Macaca mulatta: one gene and its partners. Each later gene encodes a partner of the first gene's protein in a complex. Links are inferred from orthologs where the notes say so. Each region holds a gene or a part of one and is shown in the gene's direction. Other genes may lie near its edges.

Evidence for each region.
Region 2: the proteins of GDF11 (region 1) and TGFBR1 are in contact, whole or in part, in a crystal structure (PDB 6MAC), measured with the Homo sapiens proteins. The link is inferred for Macaca mulatta from reciprocal best matches to the Homo sapiens genes GDF11 and TGFBR1. Residues at the interface, in NP_005802.1 of Homo sapiens: Phe322, Ala324, Phe325, Gly326, Trp327, Trp329, Ile330, Met382, Tyr384, Phe385, Asn386, Asp387, Ile392, Ile396, Pro397, Met399; in NP_004603.1 of Homo sapiens: Ile78, Pro79, Asp81, Arg82, Phe84, Ala87, Pro88, Ser89, Ser90, Lys91.
Region 3: the proteins of GDF11 (region 1) and FST are in contact, whole or in part, in a crystal structure (PDB 5JHW), measured with the Homo sapiens proteins. The link is inferred for Macaca mulatta from reciprocal best matches to the Homo sapiens genes GDF11 and FST. Residues at the interface, in NP_005802.1 of Homo sapiens: Asn299, Leu300, Gly301, Leu302, Glu310, Arg312, Asp328, Trp329, Ile331, Ala332, Lys334, Arg335, Tyr336, Lys337, Tyr347, Met348, Phe349, Met350, Pro354, His357, Gln361, Ile380, Asn381, Leu383, Phe385, Asp387, Lys388, Gln389, Gln390, Ile391; in NP_037541.1 of Homo sapiens: Leu34, Arg35, Gln43, Val44, Leu45, Tyr46, Lys47, Thr48, Arg60, Ser62, Asp72, Asn73, Leu75, Phe76, Met79, Ile80, Leu134, Asp135, Arg149, Gln153, Pro154, Glu155, Val180, Val181, Asp182, Gln183, Tyr188, Val190, Thr191, Asn193.

Annotation. Positions count from the first base shown.
Region 1 is NC_133416.1:62,894,599-62,899,372, forward strand, and holds the start of GDF11 (growth/differentiation factor 11), read left to right. Parts: upstream 1-1,520; 5' UTR 1,521-1,715; coding exon 1,716-2,160; intron 2,161-4,774. UniProt on the Homo sapiens protein: Secreted signal that acts globally to regulate anterior/posterior axial patterning during development. May play critical roles in patterning both mesodermal and neural tissues. It is required for proper vertebral patterning and orofacial development.
Region 2 is NC_133420.1:59,271,672-59,275,926, reverse strand, and holds part of TGFBR1 (TGF-beta receptor type-1), read left to right. Parts: intron 1-947; coding exon 948-1,190; intron 1,191-4,255. UniProt on the Homo sapiens protein: Transmembrane serine/threonine kinase forming with the TGF-beta type II serine/threonine kinase receptor, TGFBR2, the non-promiscuous receptor for the TGF-beta cytokines TGFB1, TGFB2 and TGFB3.
Region 3 is NC_133411.1:61,272,840-61,277,533, forward strand, and holds the start of FST (follistatin), read left to right. Parts: upstream 1-1,416; 5' UTR 1,417-2,417; coding exon 2,418-2,502; intron 2,503-4,519; coding exon 4,520-4,694. UniProt on the Homo sapiens protein: Multifunctional regulatory protein whose primary function is to antagonize members of the transforming growth factor beta (TGF-beta) superfamily including activin, myostatin, GDF11 or bone morphogenetic proteins (BMPs).

The DNA of each region.
Region 1 (4,774 bases):
GACAGTGTTTCACTGTGTTAGCCAGGATGGTCTCGATCCCCTCACCTCGTGATCCACCCGCCTCGGCCTCCCAAAGTGCTGGGATTACAGGCATAAGCCACCGTACCCAGCGTGACCCAAACATTTTCGATTTGACTATTGCTCCAGGGCTTTCAGATCCAGAAATAAGCCTGGAAAACCTGAAGTCAGAAGTTAAGCACCTTCAAAACAGTTTTTCACCTTAGTACTGTTCTACTCTGCTCTCTGGCTGTGTCCAGGGTCACACCTGAAGACTAGGGCTGGTCCCACATCTGTATTTCATCTCGTGCATCTGAGCGCAGACTTCTCTCCCATGCTCACCCTTGCAACCTCCATCCCCTTCTCAGACTTCTCAGACCCTGCAGATCCAAAGATATAGCTAGAAATCCAGAAATCCAGATTTCTCCTCAAGTATAGCAGCCTCCAGCCATCTCCTTCCCACCCCTCCCCCAGTGGCCTCTAGCTCCTGCCTTTTCCAGCCAGCTGACTCCCTTAGCCCTGTTAAGCCCCAATTTCAAGCTCAGTCTTCCCAGCTCTATGTCTTCCCTCTGTTTCAGTTCTTCCCATCACCTCTCCACCTTCTTAGGTTGTCCCTGACCTCTTCCTCTCCTAGTCCCCTTAATCCCTCTGATGAGCCTAGCCTGATGCTTCCTTCCACGGCTTCTTTGAGCATCTTCTTTGGGCTACCTCTGATGGCTAGAGCTCCTCTGGTCTCAAGTTCTCCACCTCTGTCCCCTGGGCTCTCCGTGCTCCCACCGAGGCTGACTCTTGTGGCTCCTTCTCTCAGGAGTTTCTGCCTTTCCTCTCCCCCACCCCCAATCCCCTGCACCTACCTCCTCAGGGGCTCCCTTGGTATCTCCCTGTCTGTGCCCCTCTCTCTCCTCCCCAATCCTGATTTCTCTCCCCACCTCTCTTTCCCAGGGCACTCCTCTGTCCTGTGTTCCTCTGCCCCTGTTCCCATCTCCATGACCCCCGATCTCTTGTGGTCTGGCTCTGTAGACCTCTGTCTCCCCCCGTCTAGTGGTACCCCTCTTCTCCCCATTTTTGTCTCCACTCTAACTCTCCCACTAGTTGTCCCAGTCTTTCTCCTCCTTGGTTCTGTGTCTCCCACAGACACACTATTTCCCTCTCTAGCTAAGTCTCTCACCTCTGCATCTTCCCCCTGACTCTTCTTTTCCTCCTTTGTCTCTCCCTCTCTCCTCCTCCTCCTTTTCCTATCTCTGTCTCGTCCCCCTTTTTCTCTCTGATTCTCCTTGGTCTCTCTGGCTCTGACTTTCCCCTATATCCGCCCCCCCCCCGCCCCCTCATATCTCTGTCTCTTCATCTCTCTCTGGCCCTTGCTCCCTCACTCCCTCCCTCTCTCTATTCCTCGGATCTCTCCGGCTCCCTCTCTCGCCTCGGATGACAGCGCTGCCTCTTTTGTTGGCTCCGCAGCCAATCGCGGCCGCTGACGACACGGGGGCCGGGGCTATAAAGGGCCTGGCCCGGGCTCGGGCCCCCCCAGCCGCCCGCCCCGGCCGCCCGCCCGCCCCGCCCGCGCGCCCGCCGCCCCCGGCCCCCCGGGTCCCCCCTCGGCCGGGCAGCCCCCAATCCCGCGCCGCCCGGACCCCCTCCTCCTCCCTCCCTCCTCCCTCCGCCCCCTCCCCGCGGGACTCCGGCGTCCCCGCCCCCCAGTCCTCCCTCCCCTCCCCTCCAGCATGGTGCTCGCGGCCCCGCTGCTGCTGGGCTTCCTGCTCCTCGCCCTGGAGCTGCGGCCCCGGGGGGAGGCGGCCGAGGGCCCCGCGGCGGCGGCGGCGGCGGCGGCGGCGGCGGCAGCGGCGGGGGTCGGGGGGGAGCGCTCTAGCCGGCCAGCCCCGTCCGTGGCGCCCGAGCCGGACGGCTGCCCCGTGTGCGTGTGGCGGCAGCACAGCCGCGAGCTGCGCCTAGAGAGCATCAAGTCGCAGATCTTGAGCAAACTGCGGCTCAAGGAGGCGCCCAACATCAGCCGCGAGGTGGTGAAGCAGCTGCTGCCCAAGGCGCCGCCGCTGCAGCAGATCCTGGACCTACACGACTTCCAGGGCGACGCGCTGCAGCCCGAGGACTTCCTGGAGGAGGACGAGTACCACGCCACCACCGAGACCGTCATTAGCATGGCCCAGGAGAGTAAGTGGGCTGCGGGGCGCGAGCAGTGGGGTGCTGGCTCTGGCCCCGCGATGGGCGCCTTCTGCTCCAAGCGGGGCGCTCCCTGCTGCCCCGGCCCGGAAGCTTTTCCTGCGAAAACTTGACGAATTAGGGAGCGGGGGCTACTTCATAGAAGTTTTTCGAGCGATGGAGATGGGCTGCAAAGTTGTATGCACGCCCAGTTTCCGGAGGTTGGGGCGGGGGGAAATGGGGCGGGTTTCGAGATACTGCCTTCCACCCCCAGTATGCGAAAAAGACCGTTGTTGGAGTCCGGGGAAGCTGGGGCTGGGCAGCGACTCTGTCCTGAAGAGCCGTGGCTGGGAGGCTGGAGAACAGAATCGGGAGGCTGCAGGACCCCCGCAGCCCCAGCTGGACTGCAGTGCTCCCTGCCTCCCAGTGGCCCTGGCGCTAACTCCCCACTCCGTGCTCCTTTCGCAGCGTGCCCACTCGGCTGCAGAGAACTGTGTGCTCTCTCCCAAGAATAGGGTCCCAGAGCCTGTACACCTCCTGGCAACCCAGCTGGCACCCTTTCCATCCTGAGCCTTGTCTCAGACCGGGTATCCGAAGGGGTGGAAAAGCTGTGCCTTCTTGATACTGACCGAGCTCAGAGAACTCAACTCCATTGCGCTGGGGGCTAAGGACACTCATTGGCTACTCAAACCTTAGTGTTCCATCCCTTATTTGCCCGCCCCTACCGCAGCTGGACTTGAGAGAGAGGAAGACCTAGGAAAAAAGAGAAAGAATAGATGGGGGAGCGGGAACCCAGGCATCCGAGCCCCTGACCAAACGGAAGATGAACATATATAATAGACATGAGCTGCTTTGAAATTTTATGACCTGGAAAATCCAGGCGAATACTACACCCGTCCCCCCACCCCCGCCCTTTCCAGCTCTCCCTAGGGTCAGGTGACTCCTTCTCCTCCTCCCCCACTGAGGTCTCCCCCCTCCCCAACTACAGGGAACCAGGCCTCTCTTATTCCCTAGTGGTTTGGCAAGGTTCCCCCCTTCCCACAGCCCCCTGCAACACACACAGAGTTTGGTTTTATGGCTGTGAACAGAAGACGGGGGAGACTGGTTTATTGGCAGATGGGTCATAAAAAGCTGGGGGCTGAGGGGAGTCCCAGTGGCCCACCCCCATGGGAGAGGCACAGGAACCCAGGTGTGCATCTGGGAGGCTGAGTGCCTCACACTGCCCCTGGTATTTCTGCAGACCTCTCAATTCCACAATACTTGGTCGGGGCTGTTAAGCTCAAAGAACCAGGAAACTAACTGGCTGTGGGGGTGGGAGGCATGGGGATCTGGTCTCGGGTTCCTCAGTTTCCCTTCTATTCTTAAGGCTTCTGCTTATGGAAGCTAGTAGGATCAGTCTCAGATCGACTGAGGGTAGGGGGTGGGGTTTCTAGGAAACAGAGTTATAGAGGAATTCAGATCAAGAGTTTGCTGGAAGATGAAGGTTACAGAGGGAAAAGATACTCTAGTCTATGTGGTGTAGTGTGTGTGAAGATTTCCAGGATGGGTGATGGGGCTGTGGACTTCCCCTTGCCCCTAAATATCCTTAGCATCCCTTAACCAACAGGCCCGAGCCCACCAGAGTTAGCTCTGGCAATGGGAATACACGAAATGAAGGGACCCTGCCTACATGAGTTGGGCTGTGCAGGTGAGGCCTGGGTGGGTGGGGAGGGGACACTAGCTGGTGGGATCCCATCCCAACTTCCACTCTGGTGCCACCCCAGGACTTGTGCAAGTAGGGAACTGGGTCTCCGGCCAGGTATTGTACGTCCCCTTTAAGAGCCTAGCTGAGCTCTTAAGAGAGGGAGGGGGAGTGGAGGGGAGGGGAGGGGAGGGAGAGAGGGGAAAAGGAAAAAGAGACTTTTATAGTCTAATCCCCAGGGACCCGCTTTAATAAGAGACTTGTGCTCTGCTAATCGGGGGAGGTGTTTGTCAGCAGAGATGGCCTCCGTTCCCCTCCCCCTCCCTCCCCTCCCCCAGCCCTCAACCCTGGACCCCAGCCCCCACCTCTCCTAGGCTGCTCTGCCTGCCCTAGTTCCCTCTACCCTCTCAGGCTCTCCCACCGAGCCTTCATCCTGGGAACCCAGCCCCCTGCCCTTCTGGGAGCCAAGCCCAGCCCCTGAGTTTCTCTCCTCCCCACACCAAGAGGCCCCTGCCCTCTCAGCCCAACCTCCTGCCCTTAGGCCTTCCAGCCATGGTTGGGAGTGTGTGTGTTGGGGGGGGTTAGGGTAGGGGGAAGGGGAGGTGGTGTGCAGGGAGGGGGTTGGGCATTTGCTGAAAATAGTGCAGTGACCTCTCTCTCCCACCAGCGCCGCCTACTAAACCTGACCTGCTGCCTGCCACCAGCCCGATCAATTCAACACAGATGTGGCCCCTTTTCCTCCCCATCAGAGCTCGGCATATGTGTGTTGGGGACTCTCTCAAGCCCCGTTTCCCTCTGTGGCTCTACCTGCTTCTCCTTTGTTCCTCCGTCTGTACCCTTTCTATCCTTTCTCTCCTTTACCCCACTAGGTTTAGCTTCCTCCCACCTTTAGCTTTCTAACCATCACCCACTCCTTTCTATCACTGCCCCCGCATCAGGATTCTC
Region 2 (4,255 bases), on another chromosome or scaffold:
AATTATTAATGGAAGTTACAAGAAAATGATCTGGACTTAAAAGTTCAGGTTAAGATAGAATAAAAAGTATGCAAACTCTGTTAAAAAAAAAAAAAAAAAAGATATGTTCTGCCTTTAAAAAATTGGTGGAGCTATTGGCTGGGCACGGCTCATGCCTGTAATCCCAGCACTTTGGGAAGCCAAAGTGAGTGAATCACTTGAGGTCAGGAGTTCGAGACTAGCCTTGAGCAACATGGTGAAACCTGTCTCTACTAAGATACAAAAATTAACCAGGTATGGTGGCACATGCCTGTAATCCCAGCTACCTGAGAGGCTCAGGCAGGAGAACTGCTTGAACCCGGGAGGCGGAGGTTGCAGTGAGCCAACATCATACCACTATACTCCAACCTGGGCAACAAGAGTGAAACTCTGTCTCAAAAAAAAAAAAAAAAAAATTGGTGGAGATATAAATACTAAAATGTGAGTTGTTTGGGAGTGATGAAGATGTATGTGTGTGTTTGTTTGTTTGTTTTGATATTTTTGTTTGTTTTTCCTGCTATGAGCATGTACTGGCCTTGGAACAAGAAGACAAGTCAAACACACTTTTAAAAATATATATGATTTTTAAGGAGACGTTAATGGGTATTGTTACAAGTTATTGGTATTACTGACCTGATGTGATAAGTGGGGAAGGTACTATGATATTGGTAGCAGCTGGCCTTGTAATGATGGCTGAAGAGTACAGAAGGAGTAAGTGGGTGCTGACAGAGCTGGTGTGCATGAAAGGAGGCCTAGTAGGAGAAGACTGAATGATTCACTTGTTCTGGGTTTGAGCCCTATAAACTGCTGTAATGAGGCTCTTTGGCTATGTGGTGGCAGTGGCCAGCTGCAGCAATTGTGTAGGATTAGGAAAATGGGGGTTGCCACCTACAGTGTTTTTGTTGTTGTTGATGTTTATTTCACTCAAGGCCCTTTTTCAGTAAAGTCATCACCTGGCCTTGGTCCCGTGGAACTGGCAGCTGTCATTGCTGGACCAGTGTGCTTTGTCTGCATCTCACTCATGTTGATGGTGTATATCTGCCACAACCGCACTGTCATTCACCATCGAGTGCCAAATGAAGAGGACCCTTCATTAGATCGTCCTTTTATTTCAGAGGGTACTACGTTGAAAGACTTAATTTATGATATGACAACATCAGGTTCTGGCTCAGGTAATGTAATTGTTTCTCCTTTTTCCTAAGACGTCTTTTTAAAATTAAGTGATACTTATTTTATTAGTTTGCTAATAAGCCAACTTGTTAGAATGTGAGATAATATAAATAATATTCCAGGTTTGAAACTAATAAAAATCTTTAAGCTTGATGTGTATATGACTGTGGCTGGTTTAAAATAGATTGGAACTTACTTTAACTGATAAAGCAAGTCAGTCAGCTCCGGTGGTATAAATTTCAAAGCGTTCTCACTTGTATGATCTAATTTGCTTTTCATCACTGTGAGGTAGAAAGGATAAGAACAATTATTCTCATATGGATGAAACCGAAGTTCAAAGATGTTCAAATGATCTGCAACTAACCCGTTCTATTCAGGATTGTTTAGCAGCCTGATGTTTATATTTGAAAACAGGCATGATAAAAATTTATTCAGAATTGTGAAGGTTATTTGCTTTTTAAACATTATATGAAATTGTCTTTTGTATAGGCCTGGTTTTTTAAAATTAAACTAATGAACTCTTACGTCATTTTCTCACTTCAGAAAAATGTCTAATCACCTTCTTATTTAATGTAGTTTTGGCCCCTAATGAGATTTGCTTTTCCCAGTTCTATTTGTTGATATTTGTGGCATCAGAAGTAGATGAGCTAATTGTCAGAGTCATCCCAAGGTGGATTTTGGCATAGCAGTGCTTCATGTTTAAACTGAAGGGGCGTTATCTTCTACTTTTTTTTGTATATGGTTTGGAAAAGTATTAAGAGAGGAACACTCCTATCCCCTGTGTTTTTAGAATTTGACACTTGGCTAAGGATAAATAGATCTAGGTTCCAAGGCAAGTTTTGTTGCTGATTGGCTGTATAACCTTGGTTAAAACATGTTTCCTCTTTGGGCTTCTGTTTCCTCATCAAAAATATGGAACCCATACTGCTGATAAAAACACTTCAAGTGGTTTGTTAAGACTTTTAAATGAGATATACTATCCTTTGAAAAGTATGAGTCGTCTTTAAATAAGGGCTAAATTCATGAATAAAGTGAAAATTTGGAAAGCGTATATAGTGAAAATTTCACTAATTTTGGTGAAACCCCATCTCTACTAAGAATACAAAAAAATTAGCCGGGCATAGTGGCATGCGCCTGTAGTCCCAGCTACTCGGGAGGCTGAGGCAGGAGACTCGCCTGAACCTGGGAGGTGGAGGTTGCAATTAGCTGAGATCGTGCCACTGCACTCCAGCCTGGGCAATAGAGTGAGACTCCATCTCAAAAAAAAAATTCACTAATTTTATAACTGAGTGATATTAAAGGAATATTAAAGCAGAAATTGAGCATAAAATCACATCTAATGTTGCAGAAAGCTCATATAATGACAAATGTCTATTTATTTTAAGGAAATGAATATATATTGTTATGTATGCATATCTATTCATTTAAGAAACTGATTTTATTACCTGAATTATTCTTCTGTAGAATTTGGCCGTATGTATTCAATAAGAGAACTCTCTCTTTGACTACTAGGACACATACAGGCTTGCACTGGAGCTCAGATCAGAAGGCAAGCTTAGGGATTCCTGAAACAGTTGTGTAAGGAAGACAATGAGAGTTCGGACTTAGATGGAGCCATCTTAGTACTGAAGGTGTGATAGTCTTTGGGCAGGAGTGGTGGACGGAGGTTATTTTAGAGCTTTCCTGGGACTTCCCATTTATTCTCAGTTCAGATCTTCAAAAAGATTTTGTTCATTCTAGAAGTAATCCTGCTCAAGACTGTGATAATCAAGGACCAGAGTCACAGAAAATCAGGATGGCTTCAGATCATTTGGAATTAATGCCTCAGACCTGTTGTCTTGTTTCTAAACTTACACTCCGGAAAGAGAGCAGCTCATGCCACTTGCCACAGTGGAATAAGCCCACCTAATTGATTAAAGGAATTGGTGGGTGGGTGATAGTTGATTACTGAATAAGAATATCTTCATTAACCTTTTAAGAGATAAACATGAAAAAGAACAGAATAATTCTGTTTCCATTATATATATATATATATATATTTCTAGATCCATGAGGGACCATAGCTCTCTGTTCTCTGAAAGCTTCTCTCCCTCTTTTTATGACTTACCCTGCAAAAACTTGTCTGCATTGCTTGCTAGCTCTGTAGCTTTGGGCAGTTAACCAATGTCTCATGCTTGAGTTATTTCATCTTTAAAATGAAAGTGATGGAGTCTGCTTTGTGCACATCATTGGGTTGTTGTGAGTTCAAGCAAGACAAAATGTTGGCATGAAAGCGCTTGGTAAATTGTGAAGTTATGTCCAAATGACAAGTGTTGCTCTTATTGAAAACATACTTGGAAGAAAAATCTAACATACATTATCAGTTGACTACATTGTACAAAACTTAGTTTAAGGCCTCCTTTACCTGTCATAGTTCATTGTGTACTGAATTCTCTACAAACCTATCTAGGCAGAAGCCATCTTCTGGTGAATAATAGCAGAAAATGCCATCTGTTTCCCTTCTATTCATTATAAATCCTTAATGCCACCTTAGGCATGAGAGTAGTGCCTGTGAGTAAGTAAACTGTGTGTTTATAATACTTGGTTTTAGTTCTTTTGTTAATTGAGGAAAAGGTATAAGCGTTTCACATTCTGAATTCATGTGTTCATTACTCAGTACCGTGACCATAATTAAGGAAAGGCCCTATCTCTACCTCTAAAGACAGTGCTTTTAACTTGGGTACTTCAGGGAATACAATGAAGAGTTGGGTTCTGGCAGCTGTATCCCAAGTGTGTGAATGTGCACATGTGCATATGTGCCAGCTTTTGATAGTGAGTCTTCTAGGCCAGTGTCGTTATAGCTTGTGCAGCTTACGAGCTCTTGTAATATATGCATGTTGTTCAGGTCTTATTTCCGGTTCACTGCATGTGAAGCTGTGGAGTCCCTGTTTCCCTTTTGAAGTTTTCTCTCAAACAGTACTAAAGGTACAGAAGAGTAGAGCAGAGAATATAGAGATCTAAATTAGGCCTATTCCGTTTTGTCTTTAGAAGAAAATTGCTACTTTTTTTGTTTGTTTGTTTTTGAGAC
Region 3 (4,694 bases), on another chromosome or scaffold:
AGCTTTGGAACTCCGCCATTGAGTGGCGGCTCCTGCAAAGGGGACAGTTTGCTATTAATTGTTAATGTCGTCTGCCATTAGAGGGCACTAAACAACTCTACATTAATGAGTTGGAGGGAAGAGAGAAAAGGAGACTGGAAAAGAAAGAGAGGGAGAAAAGGGAGGGAGAGTACGGGTAGAGTCCGGGTAGAGGGAGGGAAGGAGAGAAGAGGGGAAGGAGTAGGGGAAAGAGACCGGAGGGAATGGCTGGGAGGACTGGAGGGAAAGGGAGAAGGGGAAAGAGACAGCGAGATAGAAACAGAGAATGATTCCGGAAAGATTAAGAAGGATGTGGAGCCCCCACAGCCGTCTGAAGTGAGCAAAAAGACAGCCTCTCCCGGGCCGCCCGAGCCCCCTCCCCTCCCGTCCTCACGACGGTAATTATAAAGCGAAAAGCGGCGGCGAGGTCACCCGTTTTTACCAGCCTGCTGCACCGAATGCGCGCGGTGCAGGTGCGGCGGCCGCGGGGCTTTGTGATTCATGCCCACTTTCAAAGGGGGGCTTGGGCCCGTCTGAGAGGCACCCAAACAACTGTCTTCTAATATTAGCACGGCTGTATTTCGGGATCTATTATAGTCTGTCCAGACAGATCCCATTGTAATGGGATCTTTTATTAAAAGATTAGCACTATCTCCTGCAGTTGGTGGAAAAAAATCTGTTATCACTGAGTTATTTGCAGTTGTGGAGGGGGGAAGGTTGATGGAAGATGGGGGGTGGGAGGGCGAGAGGAGGACTGGGGGAGGGTCTGCGGGGGGAGGGGAGTTACAGGGGGTTGATGGGGGAAGAAGGGCGGATTTGAAATTCGTAGAACAAATCCCAGTGACCTGCGAATGTCCAAGAATTTTGTCTGCATACTTCGCTGTCTGTTGGCCTTCGGGCTTCAGAAGCGAAAAGAACAAAAATTTAAAAGGCAGCTTTGGAATAAACAATATAGCATTTTCCGTGAAGTAATCGTTTTATATAAAAGGAAATATCGCCTCCTCAGTTTCATTCAGCGGTGCCAAAAATGTTATAAATGAGAGACCCGCCAACTTTCAGCGAAGAATGCCAGGCACTGTACTTAATAAAGTGAGGCTACAGAAGTTCATTATGGATGTTGCAATCTTTTTTATTCTGCGAAAAGAGAGAAGGGGGGAGAGAGAGAGAGAGAGAGAGAGAGAGAGAGAGAGAGAGAGAGAGAGAGAGAGAGAGAGAGATTGGAGCCGAGGAGACTGAGAGACAGACAGAGGCACACAGGACAGAAACTGGGGAGTCTCCAGGCCGGGGAGGAAGGAGGGGGGCCAGACCGCCTACGTCGGCGCCCCCGCTCCAGGCTCCGACTCCAGACGCCGCGAAGTGAAAGGGGAGAAAAGAAAGGGAGAGGGCGAGGCTGTGCCGGGGGTGGGGGGGGTGGGGAGACCGGGCCTGAGGTGTTAAACATTTTTGTTTGCTTCTGACTCTCCCAGACCAAGGGCCGCGTCTCGGCAGCGCTCTGCCAGGGTGGAAGGTGCCGGGGCCGGGGTTCCTAGCAACACCTCTGGGCTAGGGGTGGCCGCAAAGTCAGGCACGCACAGACGCAGACACAAAACCTCGCGGGTCCTGCGCCCAGGCTGCGGGTGCCCGGAACCGCCGCGAGGCCGACGCGCTCCGACCCGACCTGGGTCGGGATATTTGGGCAGCCTGGGGCTCTCCGGGCGTTTGCAAAGTCTCTTTGGAGCGGAGGAGAGGCAGCACGGAGACAAACTCCCGGGTTCCCCCGCTTCCCCCGCCGCCGCCTCCAGCGCCCCCACCGCGCCCTCCCTCTCACACTCGCGCGCGCACACACACTCACACACACACCCGCCACCCCGGGCGCGCCGGCGCTGCCGGCGAGCGGCGGCGAGCAGGACTTGAAGTGGGTGTTCTTCCCCACTCCCCACCCCCGACGCGTCGCCCCCAACCCCCGCCCCGGTCGCCTTCCCCCTCCCTCTCGCTCCTACGCAAATAAGAACTCGCCGATTCCCCTCCAGCCGTTTTGATTTCGGGCATCTCCGAAAGATAATTGGGAAGGGTTTCCAGAAGGTGGGAAATGTCACCTGATTCACACTGAACTTTTAAAAGCTCCCCACCCCCAAGGAGCCGCGCACACCCTCGCTCGCGGCCGCCCTCCCACAGCCCCACACACTGGGAGACCGCCCACCGCAAACCGCGGAGACCCCCGTCTAGATTTAAAGCGCGGCTGCGCCCGGCTTCTGACGTCCATTGAATCGCGCGGGCGGCCGGCGGCGAGCGCGGGGCTGCGCCAGGATCGCTGCGCCCTCCGCCGCTGGCCTCTGCGACGCGCGCCGCTCTTCCGAGCCACCCGCCGCCGCGCCGGCTCCCCGCGCCGCAGCGCTCCTCGCCCCGCGCCTGCCCCCAGGATGGTCCGCGCAAGGCACCAGCCGGGTGGGCTTTGCCTCCTGCTGCTACTGCTCTGCCAGTTCATGGAGGACCGCAGTGCCCAGGGTAAGCGAGGGGGGATGCGCTGGGGAGGCTCGGCTGAGAGCAGAGGGTCGACTTTTCTGTGGTCTCCACTTGGTCTGTTCTGAGCAACGCTGCTCTCGGAAGATGTTGGACCAACTTGGGGACTACGGGATGGAGAGGAGTGGGAAAATTGTGGGCAAAGACACTTTAGGACTGGAAACGGAGTTTGGAGCTCGGTTATCTTGAAAAAGGAAAGGGAGCGAGCTGGGGTCTTAGTAGTTAGGGTTAGATGCTCTGGCAGATCTAAAGTTCTGGCCATGATAACTTTAGATGTGATCTCCTCAGTTTGGCTCTGAAGAAGGAGAACAAGTATCAGTAGTAGCCTGGAGATTTCAGTCGACCCATTTGCAGTCTCATCTCTCTCCCTGCCACATCTTTTGGATACTTAAAAAAAAGAAAGAAAGAAAAAGAAAAAAGAAAGAAAGAAAAGAAAACCTGGGGGGTTGGGGGACAGATACTGAATTTCTTTGGTGACTGGGGGACGTAGTTTCAGAAACTTTGCCCAAACTTGGAAATGTGGGTGCTGAAAATTTTGAAGGGAATTAGCTTTCTGCCTAGTGGATGCTTCTTCCAACCCCATCCCCCATACTCGCAAAAAAAAAAAGAAAGAAAAAAGAAAAGCCAAATTATTACCCCAAAGTGCTTTGAGCACTTTGAGTTTTTTTCCCCTCTGCTTCATTCTTCTTTCTGACTCTTAGCTTTCTGTAAAACAGTGAGCAGCCCATAACTGACTTAAATTCTGAAATGGGTTAAGAGCAAATTTCTGAAGCTTGCCTTTTAAAAATAGATTTGTTTATTTTCAATTAGTCTTTGGGCAGAATGTTTAAAATAATAATAGCAGCTTGCGATCCAATGATTGTTAAAGTCTTATTGGTGATTAATGAGAAGTCTTACCGACCCAAATGCGAACATTAAAAAGGGGGAAGAGGGAGAAATCACTTGCAAATACTTCTTGCTAGGTATGAGATAGGTACATATAACCGTGAAATGGTAGGAAGCCTCCTCCCCCACCCCCCTTAAGGCATTACTTTCCCTGCTTCAGCGTTAACATTTTAAGTATGTTGTAAACTGCCCTCCTGGGCACTGCCCCTCGCCGTCTGCAAGTCTCTGCGCTGGGTTGCCCGCCTTTAGGGGAGAGGCTTTGCCTGGTGCCCGGACGTAGGCGCAGAGGAAAGCAGCCCTCGGAGATTTCGAAAGATCGCGGTGGCCGCGGGCGTGCTCGGGTCTGGCAGATTGCAAAACGGGCCCGTCGGGCGGGCTGCGCCTGGAGGCCGCGCGGGGTAGCTCCGGGCTGGGCCGGGTTGCTTTTTGCTTTCATTTTTCAGAAGTGCCTTTTGCTTGATCTGTTTCTCTCTCTCTCTTTCTTTCTTTTCTTTCTTTCTCTCTCTCTTTCTTTTCTTCCTTTCTTTCTCTTTCTTTTCTTCTCTTTCCTTCTCTCTCTCTCTCCGCCCCCATCTCTCTCCTCTCCTCTCCTCTCTCTCATTCTCTTACTTTCTTAACCCCTGTCACAAATAATTCCTGTACCGCCTACATGAAACCAACATGTAAAAACATACGTCGCATCCTGTTTTTGTCAGGTTCTTTAATCTGCTCTTCGAGTCTCTGCAGGTTATGAAATGGGACGAATAAAAGTAAACAGTCTAGTAAAAGTCAGTGCAAGCTGCACGTGTTGTGTCTGGGTCACTGGTAACTGACATTGATATGGCTGGGGCGCCCTGTCTTCTCCCTTTCTCCCTCCCTCCCTCTCGCCCACCTCCCATCTCTGTGATCAGGGCTTCCCCCACCCCCCCCCCCGCTTCTTTATCCACCCTTCCACCCCTTTCGATTTATTTCCTACTTTTCTCCCGCGTCTCTCTCACTTCCCCTCCTCCACGCTCACCCCCTCCCCATCCCCGCCAGGTCTCCTTCGCTCGCCACCTCGCCACCTCGCTCTCCCTGCCTTGCTACCGCTCACCGCTCACTGCTCACTCACCCACCTCCCCACCCCGTCTCTTCACAGCTGGGAACTGCTGGCTCCGTCAAGCGAAGAACGGCCGCTGCCAGGTCCTGTACAAGACCGAACTGAGCAAGGAGGAGTGCTGCAGCACCGGCCGTCTGAGCACCTCATGGACCGAGGAGGACGTGAATGACAACACACTCTTCAAGTGGATGATTTTCAACGGGGGAGCCCCCAA